3 linked regions of the Drosophila melanogaster genome follow. The protein of the gene in region 3 interacts with the protein of the main gene of each other region in a pairwise test. Each region holds a gene or a part of one and is shown on either strand. Other genes may lie near its edges.

Region 1 (5,838 bases), on a different chromosome or scaffold from region 3:
AAAAAAATTGTATTAAATTCAAAATAACCAGCTTAAAGCATAAGCACAGCACCCCAAAGTCACGCCCCGGCATCACACCTAAAATTATTTGCTCGTTTTCTGGCCTTTTTACTGCCTGTGGTTTATTTCTATTTTGTTCTCTGACGGCATTAATATTCCGACAAATTATTTGTCACCCCATCCACCATGCAAAGGGCTGCAAGGACACGCCCTACTCATTTGCATGAGAATCGGTATACAGAATGATGGTTATGTGTGGCATTAATCACGGGTAGACGAGCTGAATATTTTACGATCATTAATCGTCGTTGGTCACAATTCGATTTTCTTCGGGGTCTTCGGGGGTTATCCATCTAGTTTTGGGTGGATGGATGGTCATATACTCGTCGCATATTCGACAGCACCCACATATTGAGTGGTACTTTTTAAGCAACTGACAAATTGAGCATTTCAGTCATCTTTTCTCTACTTTTCTTATATTTTTCTGGTGTCACTGAACTCTTCAAATTTTCATCGTTATACCCTTGCTAAGGGTATATTGCTTTCAGTCAGGAATTTGCAACGCAGTAAAGAAGACAATCTACAGCCTTTCGCTTTTGATCAGAAACGGACAACCTTATCATATCATATAAAATGTCTAGCAAATCAATGAAAAACTAATCCCAGCTTAGTTGTTTTTTAATCATAATGCGTTCTAATTCGGTACACACCAAATTTGTGATTTGACATTCGATTTTAATTTGTTCAAACTCTGCAAATAATTACTGCAAGGGTGTATAAGTTTCGGTTTTCCGAAACTAGCATATTTTTTTGTTTTTATTTAAAGTAGACGAAATAAATTGAAAAAAGAGAACAGAGAAACACGCGCAAAGCGACGACGTACGACTCAAAAAAAAAAACTAAATAAATAAATAAAAAAAAAAGACAAAACGCGAAACAGAAACAAAAAGCAAGAAAATAAATATTCAAATTCTACACATTGTGAAAATTTTATTGTCGAAATACAAATTGGACGGCGCAGCCTTACTTACATGCATGTATTTCCCGACTTCTCAGATTCTAGGCGCCACGCGAAAAACTAGAAAATCTATTTTCGAAACATTCACAACAGCGAGTGAATCGAGTCGCACCGCACTGAATATGTCACAATTACTCATGTGCTTCTAAAATGCCAAGCGATGTGCATACGAGTTTATACATACAACCCAAATAGACAGTACATCCTATTCCCATTCGATCCCGAGGGGGTTACGTTGCCACACATGGCCCGTTATCAGTGGCAGTTGGGCCTACAGACTTCACCACTCGCGCACCCAACATTATTATGCATTATTATGTATTCATGGACCGGGGGATCGTGTCGTTTTTCACATTTTACATTGCCCGCCAGGCGGACGTTGATAAAATTCTAATGGCCTGTAAGCCAGCTAGCCAGTTAGCCAGTTAGCCAGCTTGCCAGTTAGCCAGTAAGCCGTGATTTAGGCATGTTTCCATTCACGTTGTTGTCACGTCCCGAAACAAACGCTTTTCACACCTTGTTGAGCTCTGTAAATCGTAGTTATGTGCTGTTTCCACCCAGGTCGTGTGTAACTGCAATACCATTTCCTTAAACCGAACTTGAAAATGTTTATCGAAATTTGCATCTTAATTCGTCGTCTGCCTCGCACTAATGGGCAAAAAAAAGTTCGTACCCAATCCTGTCTGGAATATGGAATATCAGTGACATCCAGACAGGGGCGTCTTTGTTCTTTATCTCTATTAGATATCTTTTATGTTCTTATCTCCTGTGGGACATGTGCTCCCGATGCTGCAGAATCTTTCGCTTTCCCGAAAATTGTTGCTGCAGAGCTAGAGCAAGATAGTGGCAACCTGGCGGAAACACACGTCCGACATACATCAGCAGACCCTGTGTGACGCAAATGGATGGATTATGAGTCAGCTAAAGAAGTGGGAGCTGCAAACCCAAACCAAAAGGAATAGTTTGATGACCAGATTGCTTGATATATGAATGCACTTCGTGGAGGCGCTCTGGCGCATTTGGATCGAAGTGCTTCGAACACGTTGCCATCTTCAGTCTGTTTGAAGCTGTCGAACGGTGAGGTTGCCGAGAATCCTATCGTGGATCCAACTTGGGATCCAGATTCACATTTCCGCTGCCGCGTGCGCGGTGCTTCGTGGCCAGTGAGGCGTGTGAATTCAAATGCGGTGGTCAACGCTTTGGTTGTCGCTTTCTTTGTGTCGCCAGTGGTATTTAATCAAAATCGAATAGAGAGCCAGAGTGGCGGCAAAAGCAACAAAACAAAAAAAAAAATGAAATGAAATGAAATGAAACGAAATAAAACAATGCGGCATACAAAACGAGACGAGCACACCAAAATATCGGCAAATCAACCGAAATTATAAAAGAAAGGAAAGAACTCGACACATTGATGTGGAATCAATGCAATAAATTAACTTAAATTTGGTTTTCGCTTGGCCAGCCGATTTCGATAAAGTAGAAAAAAAAGAGAGAGAGAGACAGAGACGAATACAAACACAAATAAATGAAAAATCGTTAAAATCCCGGTCTGCGAATTCGATCAGCCCACGAAATTCGATGCGGCGGACTAGGCCTCCAAAAATATTTATACTTATGTAGAGCTCGGATTTAGGACCTACCTGTCTGCCCAGCAGCGGACCCTTGCTGATGAAGTCCTTCTTGGCCGAGTAGAGCTCCGGCGGTGGTCCTTTCAGCGAATACCGCAGGCCGGACTCCCCAAGGTCGTCCGTCGTCCCACGCAGACAGCGCTCAAGGGCACGCTCATCCTCGTCGTCATCGGAGGCGGTGGCTGAGCAGGCGGATGATACGCAAGAGGAGGAGCACGCGAAGGAGGTACGATCCCGAGCACCGGGAGATTCGCAGACAGTGGTACTATTCGTGCCAGTGCTGTGACCAGAAGTTGTGGACCGCAGTGTGGTGCTGGGATACGCGAAGGCGGGCAGGTCCGACAGCAGGCGATGGCACTCGACCTCCTGGCCGCCGGCGGGCGATTTAAGTGAACCGGCATCCGGCATGGACATGGCGATGACCAGATAAGATAGCGATCTCCAATCTCAGAAATCCGAAATCCCAAATGGCACGTGCAAAAATGCGCGCGAAAGAGCAACAAAATCCACAGTATGCGTATATACGGCTATACGTATATCTTGTAGATATATGTATCTTTACACTTATGTTGGCTCTATGGCTCTTTGGCTCTTTGGCTTTTTGCTTATTTTGTTAATTGAAATGCGACAGTCTCGTTCCGTTGCCGTGGGCACCGCACCCGCCAAAAAATGCGAAAATACGAACGAACAGAAAGGCAAAGACTACGGCTCGTGGGTATTAAAACGACTCACACTTATGGCTGCGATTAGCTAGATAAACTACTTAGTACTGGAGCCATTGTACGATCTCATGATGAATCTTTTTGCCGAATCACAGAATTTATTCGCAGTTGCGGTTGGGTTTTGGCCAATGTTAAGCTTGAACTTCACACATCGCGCCGAATGCATTCACTTTCGAGCTGCACCATTAACTTGGCCACCGTTGGCATTCTGAGTTGCTGGCTTTCTTTTCGCTTTCGGCCAGCGGCTATTTTTGCAAACTTTTCGGTGGCGAAGGTTGTCCCACAACTGAGCACCATGTCAGAGTTCACAAGAACACGCCGATCGTTTGGCATCGGCATCGCTATCGCCATCTGGCCGACATGGCTGGTCAGGATACGGAATACACTGGCGCACTGGGATGAATACGTATTCAAATTCGAATTAGAAATCGCAACTGGATTAATATTACAAATGGAACTTTAGCAATTGTCTGATACTACCGCGCGCGCGCAAATAAATGAAACGGACGAGAACGAGCCGATGGACCAGACCAATGCTGCGAACCAGAGAATTTGTATCTGTATCTGGCGATGTTTCGTTTCGGCTCGCTTGAGTTCCCGCTGCGGACTGAACACTGCTCGCCGAACAGCAGTTGGTAGCGGACGTTCCGCCGTACCGCCAAGCAATCTGAGATCGCGAACATATATCGCTCCGAAAGCTAAAAGCGGTTCTCTCGCAGCTATATGCTGTACAACATACATACATACATATGTACATATGTATGTACATACTCGTATGTAGGCACGAGTATAGGGATATGGGTTTGCTGAATGGGCTTAGGATTTCGATTCCGAAGGAGTGTTTTAGAGAGATTAGAAATACGTCAGAATCATATCAGTACGCAGAACAGCCGGCTTCTCTGCGCAGAGAGCGCTGTGGCGAAAAGAGAGCCGAGCGCGGCTTAAAAGAGCACTCGAACGCTCTCTTAAGTGCGCCTCTGCTTACTCAATATTTTTGCACATGTGAGGATTAAGTGTGTGGACATAATTATCATCGGATAAGATAAGGTGTGTTAGCATAGTAACAATCTTTGCATCTAGAGTATCTGCCTTTTCGGATGAAATAATATAAATATTAAAAAAAAAAAAAATAGGCTTATGCTGCATGCTTTATTCAGTAATAGTTTTTAAAAGTAATCAAAATTTGTAAACATGTTCACACTTGTGTGATACCAACCAATTTGAGTAAGTATGTACTTGAGTAAATAATAAAACTCTTTTTACTTATGACTTATTTTACTAGCCTATGCATTACTAATCGCACCGAGCAGTACTAAAAACTTTGAATACGAATTCTTTTGAAATAGAGGATAAGACCCTGGGCATTACCAGTGGTGCACTTCCGGAAGAAGTCATTTCGGAAGAAAAAAAGGAAGTTGATGATCACAGAGAATGGTACAATGATGACTAGCTCATCAGTATCAAAAAAAATTCTTTTTTTGACGTAAATAAACTGACACGACAGCCTTTACTCAGAAATGCGACAAATATAAAGATATATCTAAATAATCTACACAAGCTGAACAAACATATCGTAATAGTTTAGATAGGCAAGTGTAACTGATTTGTCTCAAATTGGTATCATTATAAACAATACTTTATACTTTATACTTTATATTGTCTCATTTGGGCATAGAGTGTGCGACATCTGCCGGATCCCAGCCCATCCAATGTGGGTCAAGATCAATCTACTGATCGCGTCAGTGAATAAAAATAGTAGCCATTCGCTCCATTATTTGAACGCCGAGAACTCTTCCACATAAATGTCTTCTGTGCCAAATTACCATATGTAGCAATTGACCCTATTGTATACTAAATATTTTCTTTAATCAAACGCAGCAATAAGAATTAATCAATTAAAAGACCAGAGCTCGTTTGCCAAATTAAAGTATAGTTGGAAATTAAAAATCCATTTCGCCGCCGTGGAGGTCGGCGAAAATTTAAAAATATTCCAAAATACGATGATGCATATTCATATACTACGGATGTTGCGAGAATGGTGGACTAATGAAAAACATCTCAAAAGATTCCAGGAAGAGCGTTCTCCATGCAACCATGCAATCGGCAACAAAACGCTTGTTTTGTAATCAACAACAAACAGCCGGCATCCAAATGATGCCAACATAAAACAGCAGCCATAACAGAACATCTTACAAAATAGCCCTAAAAGTCTGGAGGGGGCAAGTGAGTTCCCCAAGAAGGCTGTTTGTATTACACCGAACTAATCATCATGCCCTGTAAGCAATGTTTACACAGCCACTAAACAAAATAAACGACTCCTAGCTGGAGTCTCTCCCCAAGTCACTAATAAATTGCTCAGTCTAGCAAATCGCATACTGATCTGTAGGAAAGCATACGTTCTAAATTAGGAAATATTGCTCAAAGAGGCGCCGCTGGTTTTCAGATGCTAATGATCGAGCCACTGGAGACC
Region 2 (4,358 bases), on a different chromosome or scaffold from region 3:
TTCTTTTTTTTTTACCTGTCCACTATTCAATGGCAGAAGCTCATCAAGGAACTCCGCCCATCGAATGCCGGTCCATTCAGGTCGATGGTTGCACATCCGGGTGTATTGATTGCTTTGACAAATCTGAGGCTCGTGTAATTTCATTACAAAACCCCCGAATCGGCTTCAGCATGGGATTACCACAAAAGCATTTTTCGAGTCGACTCGAAGTCTATATATTCCCCAAAGTGAGGAGAGAGATGGGCCAATGTCTGGTCTGTTTTGGTCTGGTCTGGTCGGGTTTTCCAGATGCTTTTCCTCACCGCCCTCGTTGTGTATGAAATTAAATTCAATTGTGTGACAAGTTAATCCTATTTCTCATCTCCCAACTTTTATTTAAGCTTCATTCTTTATGCATTACATGCGAACTTCGTGGGTGAGTGAGTGACACCGGTCTTGGTTTCCAAGGCAGTCGGCGGTCCATCAATCAGTCAATCAGCCTGCCAGCCAGCCAGTCCGTCAGTGAGTCAGTCACTCCTTTGGCAGACGTCATAGACTGTCAGAAATGTTTGATATGTATGTATGCTGCCCGCTTTCTGTCTTGGAGCCCGTTTCAAAAAGTGAAAGCGAAGGGTTGGCTGTCTGGATGTCTGAATGTCTGGGTGTCCCAAGGGTCGGGGCTTTTGAGTGCCTCCCTGACTCCGACGATCCAGCAACACTTCATTAAACGCATAAAGCAATAAAATGTTCTCTCGATAAGCAAAACAAAGACCATCCCAAATGAAACCCCATAGAAAAAGGCTACGAACTTCGTCTGACAGCTTGACGTCGCCTGCTAATGGCAGGGGGAAAAAAAAAACCAGAATAAATAGAATAAAGGACGGCATCTATCTACCCGAATTGATACTCTCGAGTCCCTGCCAGTTGGTCTCAGTGATTGGGAAGTCCTAAAGCTGCTAGAAGGCTATAATGAAAGTCAAACACCCACTAAAGTTCCTATGGCTGCGCTCGAAATTTTCTTTGATTATGCAAATGTCACAGCTGAGAGGGCAAAATCTGTTTCAATTGGCATCCTGATTTGTCTACAATCTATGTATGTACGAATTTCAGAATAAATGCATTAAAATAGAAGCTTTCATTGAGAAGTTCATTTTAGGATGAAGTAAGTAAAATGAAGTGCTTATATTGGGGTCAAATTCATCTAGAATTGAAATGGCATGCTAGTCATTTCGGGGAATAGTTAACTAGTGCAGTTCAATCAACTTTCCGTGCGCTTTTCCCGTATGTTTGTCACGCCCCCATTAACCCCATGGAAAAAGTGACATGACAGACAGGAATCAGACTTGAGCTGGGGCTCAATCCATCACATCAGTGCGGAAGAGACCAGTCATCATCATCATCGTTGTCGTCAGTGCGCTTGTTCCCCTCTTGGCCACCATCGTTGCCCACTGACCACCATTGTCATCCCCGTATCCGAATATAATATAGAGTAGCGGAATTGTATCTTTATTACGATAATTGCTCATTGAACAGGAAATTATTATATGCGTCCGGGGCTCGGCATGTCCTCCAATTCCAAAGCCCATCAATTTTCTTGGGGAGATGGAAAAATCATCAACCCAGAACTCAACGGGGATATAATAATAGAACAACATGCGTCCGAACAGGGTCCGTTCTTCTCCAAGGGTTACTGGTTCAGGTGGCAATGAGAATGGAAGTGGTAGTGGATTGTGTTTGGGGTTTCGGGCCTTTTAGCTGATGATGACATTTTTCTTCTTTTTTGCGGACGACGCTCAGAAATGAAAAAAAGGACATCACACACGCACAGGAAGGGGAGAGGCAAAAGACAGTGATGGCAAGTGTGGTAAGAGAAGGTACAGATCCTAGGGGTTTGGTGGCAGTCCCCGCAATGGTGGATGATAGTCACCAGCGTAATTACCATAGCCACCGCCATCACAATCGCCCTCGCCAATCAAACCGCTTGGCATCGGAGGCTCCCTCCAGTTCCACACGCCGATACTATCGCCGCCTCCCATATTTAATTCCGTCCTCCGTCGATGTAGCATTACACGCATATTGATCATGAAACGATTCACATCCCGCTGATGATCGATGCGCAATTGAATCGGTGGAATTTGGGTGATTCGACGTTCATCAGTCGATGGCTGTATATTGCGCTCTTCTTCGCCCGGCACGCGATCCATATTCAAGCGAATGCGAAAACTCTGACCTGGATTTGGCCTAAATGGATTCATTTTGAATATTTTAAAGCTGTTCTTACTGAAATTTCGATCGAAACGTTCTGCTGCTGTTGGGGATTTCGAATAACTAATATTTTTCTGACACGGTAGCACACAATACCGATTGATAGAAATCTCAATGAGACCTGAGCATCTGAAATATGTGACAAGACAAATAAAGCTGAATTGTGGAATGGTATTATGTGAAATATTGTACAAGAGATAAGAGATAACCAAAAAATTTGGATAACTAATTCCGACATAATCCGACTGGGGGACTTCCGGTGAAATATCTATGCGATCTATGTGGCCCACAAGTACACATACTTGTGTACGCTCGATGCATATTTAATTAAACTTTCACCTACTCAAAGACGACAAAGAATCTTTGGCGAGGGCGACAGGAGACAAGTCCAGAACACTTTGGTCTCTCGCTTCAATCATTTTCATGGGGTGGATTGGATGCGCTAGTGGATGTCCTAGCTCGAGGACCTGTTACTCTCATCCTGGTTCCTGAAGTACTTAAAAGCAACACGACAAGCTTTAATTAAATCAGTTTTAATTAATGCAAAATGCGAAATTTCAAAAGACGTCGTTGAGCAAGCGCTTGGCTCAAATTGCCGACAACATGGAAAACAGAACACAGAGGCGGTGAGCTCCAAAGGACCCCAAAAAGGATCCGCATCCCCTCGAACGCAACGTTTTGTTGTCGCATAATTACAACTCAATTGTAATCCAATTTTGGCCAGGCATATAAATCCGATTCAGGCACAAAGTCACGCCCCCGGCCTGGTGTCTGTGTCAACTTTTTCGGTGTCAAATAAATAAACTTTTGACAGTCGGCAGACAGGCCAGCGGGGTTTTCCGAGCTCCAACTCCGCCCGAAAAAGCCCATCCGCACACCTTTCGCTTTTTGTGGCCACCACCGGAAATGGAAATTTGTTAACAATGGTGGGTGGATTGGGTTTGGTGGCATGTATCTGGGATGCCAAAATCAATGCCCCAACAGATGGATTAGATACAGACATCTGACCACGAGCTCATCCGTTCAACCCCGTCGAAGGCAGAACTCTTGATAACTGCAAATTAGTTGCACATGTTCCACATGGGCCACAACTCAAAACAAGACGTGTTTGCACTAATTTGGCCAAAATCAACAGCTGTGTGTACATGTGCTGCCATCTTCTGCTCGCTGTGTGAGTGAAGAAAACTCATCATAACTTTCTTATCAGAAACTTACTTCTTGCTCTTCAGATACCCAACAGAAGCGTTCCCAAAAAAATAAAATAAAATAAAAGAACGGGGGAACTAGCGAGATTCTGGGGCGAAAAACGAGAAGGAAAACAGAAAAATTGCCTAGAAAACTTGTTATAATTACACACTGGCACACACACACTGGCACACGTGCTGGATGGCCGTATGTGTATGAAAGTCGTGCACTTAAAGAAATAAAAGCGACTTCGTTATTAATGAAAATTGTCTATGTTTAAATATCATAAGATTTCATCAATGATTTAACTATGTTTGAATCGATTTTTTTGCGATTTTACAACCTCTATTTCATACCATTATTTTAACATGGTTCTGTCATCTATTTTCTCCATTTGTATGACTAACTTAGTGACTGCAGGGCAAGGAATTTGGAAGGGGAGACGTGGAGAGAGGGGGAGTACGAGGGCATGCATGAACAGGCAACATATGTTGGACTTTGGAGCAAACTTTTGCGAGTTTTCGGGGCGCCCTTCCACTATGCCCCTTGTGGCAGCTCCATATATTGGCACCTCCTCATCTCCTCATCGCAGGATTTCGCCGAGTGGAACTTGTGTGTTTTGTGGTTGAGTAGACGCACAGTTTAGGCCCAGAATGCAACAGCTGCGAGAATCCCCACTCTGGAGGACGAGAATGTCGTGGCCAACTCATGGTTGGAGTTTTGCCTGTTGCCGAGAGACCCCATGACAACTTCCTCACTAATCTGCCCGATGAGTCACGATAAGATAGATAATTGCATGGGGTAAGTCCTATTAGGGTTGCTAATTTTGGGGCTTTGGGGGAGCTAACTTTGGATAGAATATTGTGAAAGTTATAGAGGAGGTAAAACAAAAAAATTTGTTTATATTACTTTATTTACTTTATTTCAAT
Region 3 (3,886 bases):
ATTAGTCACCAACTATTGTGTTTCTTTCAATATATATAACATATTTGTATTTCGTACCTATCAATTTTACCTATTATTTGCCAACAAAATTACATACTTCTAATGATCAACAAGCATTGCACCATTTAAATTTAAATGATATTATCGAACAGAATAAGTATTATAATATTTACAGTTTTTAAAGTTTCTAATATACAATTAAATACATCATGATTGTGCAGATTATGATTTCTCTCCGTGTCGATGTATGGGCATGCCTGCATGGGCAGAGAGACACCAACCAACACATGGTCGAATCCGAAATTCAAATCCCAGCTCAACGTCATCGAAGCGCCGCACTCTGGAGGACTCCGCGATGCATCGCAGCGGGTCTTTGGGGGCTGGGGCGGAATTTTCACTTGAATATTCGACACACTTTGAGCCCGGGCACACACAGCTGGAAGTCGCGAAGGTTTGCAGGATTTCCAGACTCAGATTCAGATTGAGATTCAGGGAGGGGCGCCACAGCGCGCTTGGCTGTCTCAGCGATTCTTGGGGCTATGCATCATCATCATCATCATCGGCCGGGGCCGGCGTCGAAGTTGGAGCTGCAACATGGCAACATGTTGCAATCTGCCAGCTCTGCATGCATAAAATATTATGCAACATTATGCCACAGACACAGGCCAGACGACACTCTTGGTTTTATTTACACTTTTTTCGGGCTGTGGCCACCCCTCGCCCGAAATGTTGCTGCTTATTAGTGCCGGGATGTTGACAGCGTTTAGATCTAATTGAATCGCCCGGATCGCCGATTTCTGTGCCGTCCGTAGAACATTTGGCTTGGCCCGCTCCCATTTGGCCCATAACCCATAAATCTAACACACCGGCACGAGAGATTTATAGAGTTCAGATTGCGAAATGCGCAGAAGCACAGCACAGCGCGCAGCGCCGAGCTCGGAAAATCTTGAAAAATTAAAATGACTAGTGCCGGGGCACGATCAAGACCGTGCTGCCGTCTTGATAGCAGACAATGGCAACTCCGGAGGAGATGGAAAGCCCAAAAGCGAAACCTCAGCGGTAGTCAGCATTGGGGCGTCTGCAGTTCAACGTTCAAGTGGCACAGTACGCCCTAGAAAAATGAATTGATTCGATTGTTTTTCGCCGCAACTCGGGCTCCTCTACTTTATCTGCCAGCGCCGAGCGGAAAAATCTGAAAATGGTTAGACAAAAAAAAAACGAAAAATCAGGGGCAGAGGCAAAGGCAGAGGCAGGGAGCGCGCCCCGAAAAATACTGATGATACAATCGCGTTTTTGACTTTGAAAAGTCAGCTTCGAGTCAGCCGGGCTATTGTTCAATGGCCCAACTGCAGCAGCGGCAACATCAGCAACAGCAGCAGCAGCAGCAGCAGCAGCGGCCGACACTGATTGTTATGGTTTATGAGATGAAAATGCACTCGAAACAATATTCTGGGGCCAATGCAATTTGCGATTTTTAATCAACTCCTCTCGTCAGCACTCAGCAACAGAAGAAAACATCGTATTTGGGGGCCCCTGATTGCAGCTTCCACTTCGAGAATCGTGGCTCCTTCATCTGGCTTTTGATCTTCTCCCCGTCCCCGAGATGATTCCCCTGGCTCCTAGCCTGCATCCACTCGACCATCATCTGCAGGCCAGCAGAGCTGCCCTCCAGTTCGCCGCCCACTTTGCGGCCACAGTGCGTATGCGCGATGTAGCCACACACCTTAAGTTCTGCGGCTTTGTGGGCCACAACTGAAAGCAGGGCCTCATCGGAATCTTCGGGCACACTCATTTCATACGCTAATAGGTAGATCTCTGGCTGCGGTTGGAGTACCAGTTCCAGCGACATTTTTGGGAATGGAAATTTGAGTATGTGAGTTTTCACGGCTTTTGAAAATAAATGATCCAGATTTCCTAAGTTACTCTGCTGATGATATATAATCGAAAAATTTGCGTGGAGTAAACATCACTGATCCATCCAAAGGTAAGCATTTAAAACAAATTCTGAATCTTTAAAAATGCTATACTTTTATATTTATATAGATTTTCGTAAAAAGTATTTTTATAAACTATCAGGAAACGTATTTTAAAACAAAATGTCAATTAATAATTATGCTTTGCGTAAGTCATCAGTTTAATCAATTTAGTTTAAAAACAAACCTACACGCCAGTAAATTTAGCTTAACACTCAGTACAATCCAAAATTATAGCCCTAAGTTATTTGCATATCTTTCAGCAAAACTAAACAAGAAATGACATTATTAGGGTCCTACGATTGGATGTTCAATGAGGATATTCAACTTAGGACCGAGTTTAAGTTGTACAACATAATGTCAAGGAACCAATTTCCGCGTCGAATTCTTCAATATTGCCACAAAAACCATATAACCGGATACATAGTATTCACCCACGGGGGCAAACAAGCATTTGGAGTGATGGATGGCAAGCGGAAAGATTTAAACCGGATAAAGCCCTACCTTCTGAGGTTTTGCATTCCAGAACCCTTTAACCAACGAGTCACTTTTTCAGCCTACGAGTTATGCTTCAATCCGAACAAAGAGAAATTTAATATTAAGGATAGAGTTCCTAAGGGCGCCAAGTTTCTGGGAGATATATACGAGGACTGCTTTCTGAGGTTCAAGAATCAAAAACCGGAACCGGAAGAGGAAACCGAGGCAACTAAAGCCTTGTTCGCAAAATATTCCGACTTCTTTAACTTAAAATATTTCGTCAATTGTTAATGGACAATATATAGCTAAGACTATGCCAGCACAATTCCCGATTCTCTTTAGTCGCAGTGATTTCTCGCAGTGTGGATGCGACTCGTGCTGGCCATTGTTCAACACTATTTGCGGCACTCAATCTCTTAATTAAATATGCGACTAACTGGCAGCTCGGAGGCACTCGAAGAGTGGCCCAGACATCGCCGTTTAGTGTCGAAATTGTGCAAGTTTTGATTTTCCTTTTGTTGTTATGGAAGTCGCTGTTTGTATTTTTTTTTTGTTTTTGTTTTTGTTTTGGCTTGGTTTGGTTTTCTTGTTCGCTGGATAATCACAGGCCCGGCGAATAGACGGCAGAAATTAAATCAGCCAAGGTTATCGCATTAATAAGCCCCCTGGTTTGGGTTTTACAGTTTTCTGAGCCAGTCAATTATTAAATTTGCAATTTCCGTAGCTGAACTTTTGGGGTCAGTAGACTGATTTAAATCAAAACCGTAATTGAGCATTGCCCGCGAGCTAGAACCAATCGCACCAAAAACCAAATACCAAATACCAACCTCCGGGCAGGAAAATTGACAAATGTTTGATAGCTAGCTACCTTTTCGGATTGCTTGTTTCACGTGCATTTATTTTCCTCCAAAAGCGGATGTGGGGACGCTGCGAATCCGATTCAGAAAATGTACAGAAAAAAAATCGAAAATCAAAAACTCCCAGCTAAGTGGCTTTCCATGACATTTTACTGACACTCTTGCCGTTGAACTGGAAGACCTGTTTTCATTTTCCCTCTTAGCGCAACTTAACACATTTGACGAAGATGTCTATGCCAGCAAATGACGTGTCATCAATGGAGCCCGCACTCCCACATAAAGATGCACAGCGTCCTCAACTCGATCTCGGATCTCACATCTCGCATCTCGTACCCCGGCCACAAATCCCCAGCACTTGAAGCTTGAAGAGATCTGTTGGTGCTGTTGTATTAATAAGCCTGACATTTGAGCAGAGCATCCACTCGAAGCCATCGGGTTTCGGTTTTGCGTGTAGGCGTCTGAAAATAATAATTAAAAAATCGTTTCTAATGCGGAAATCTCGCGTTTTTGAGCTGGGGGTGAGCTTAATGCCGAAGATGTTAGACAAATATATCAGATTTCTATTTCTTTTTTTGTCGC

Evidence for each region. Proteins that work in one complex are often made in the same cells at the same time.
Region 1: the proteins of CG15167 (region 3) and AdamTS-A interact in a two-hybrid assay, tested with the Drosophila melanogaster proteins (one large-scale study listed by BioGRID).
Region 2: the proteins of CG15167 (region 3) and CG15576 interact in a two-hybrid assay, tested with the Drosophila melanogaster proteins (one large-scale study listed by BioGRID).

The regions. Positions count from the first base shown.
Region 1 is NT_033777.3:15,472,229-15,478,066, forward strand, and holds the start of AdamTS-A (ADAM metallopeptidase with thrombospondin type 1 motif A), read right to left. Parts: upstream 3,966-5,838; 5' UTR 3,061-3,965; coding exon 2,659-3,060; intron 421-2,658; exon of another isoform or gene 1-420.
Region 2 is NC_004354.4:4,250,405-4,254,762, forward strand, and holds CG15576 (uncharacterized protein), read right to left. Parts: upstream 2,387-4,358; 5' UTR 2,235-2,386; coding exon 1,863-2,234; 3' UTR 1,466-1,862; downstream 1-1,465.
Region 3 is NT_033779.5:18,738,373-18,742,258, reverse strand, and holds CG15167 (uncharacterized protein), read right to left. Parts: upstream 1,902-3,886; 5' UTR 1,850-1,901; coding exon 1,499-1,849; 3' UTR 1,452-1,498; downstream 1-1,451. Other genes in the region: CG42752 (uncharacterized protein), read left to right, coding at 2,253-2,741.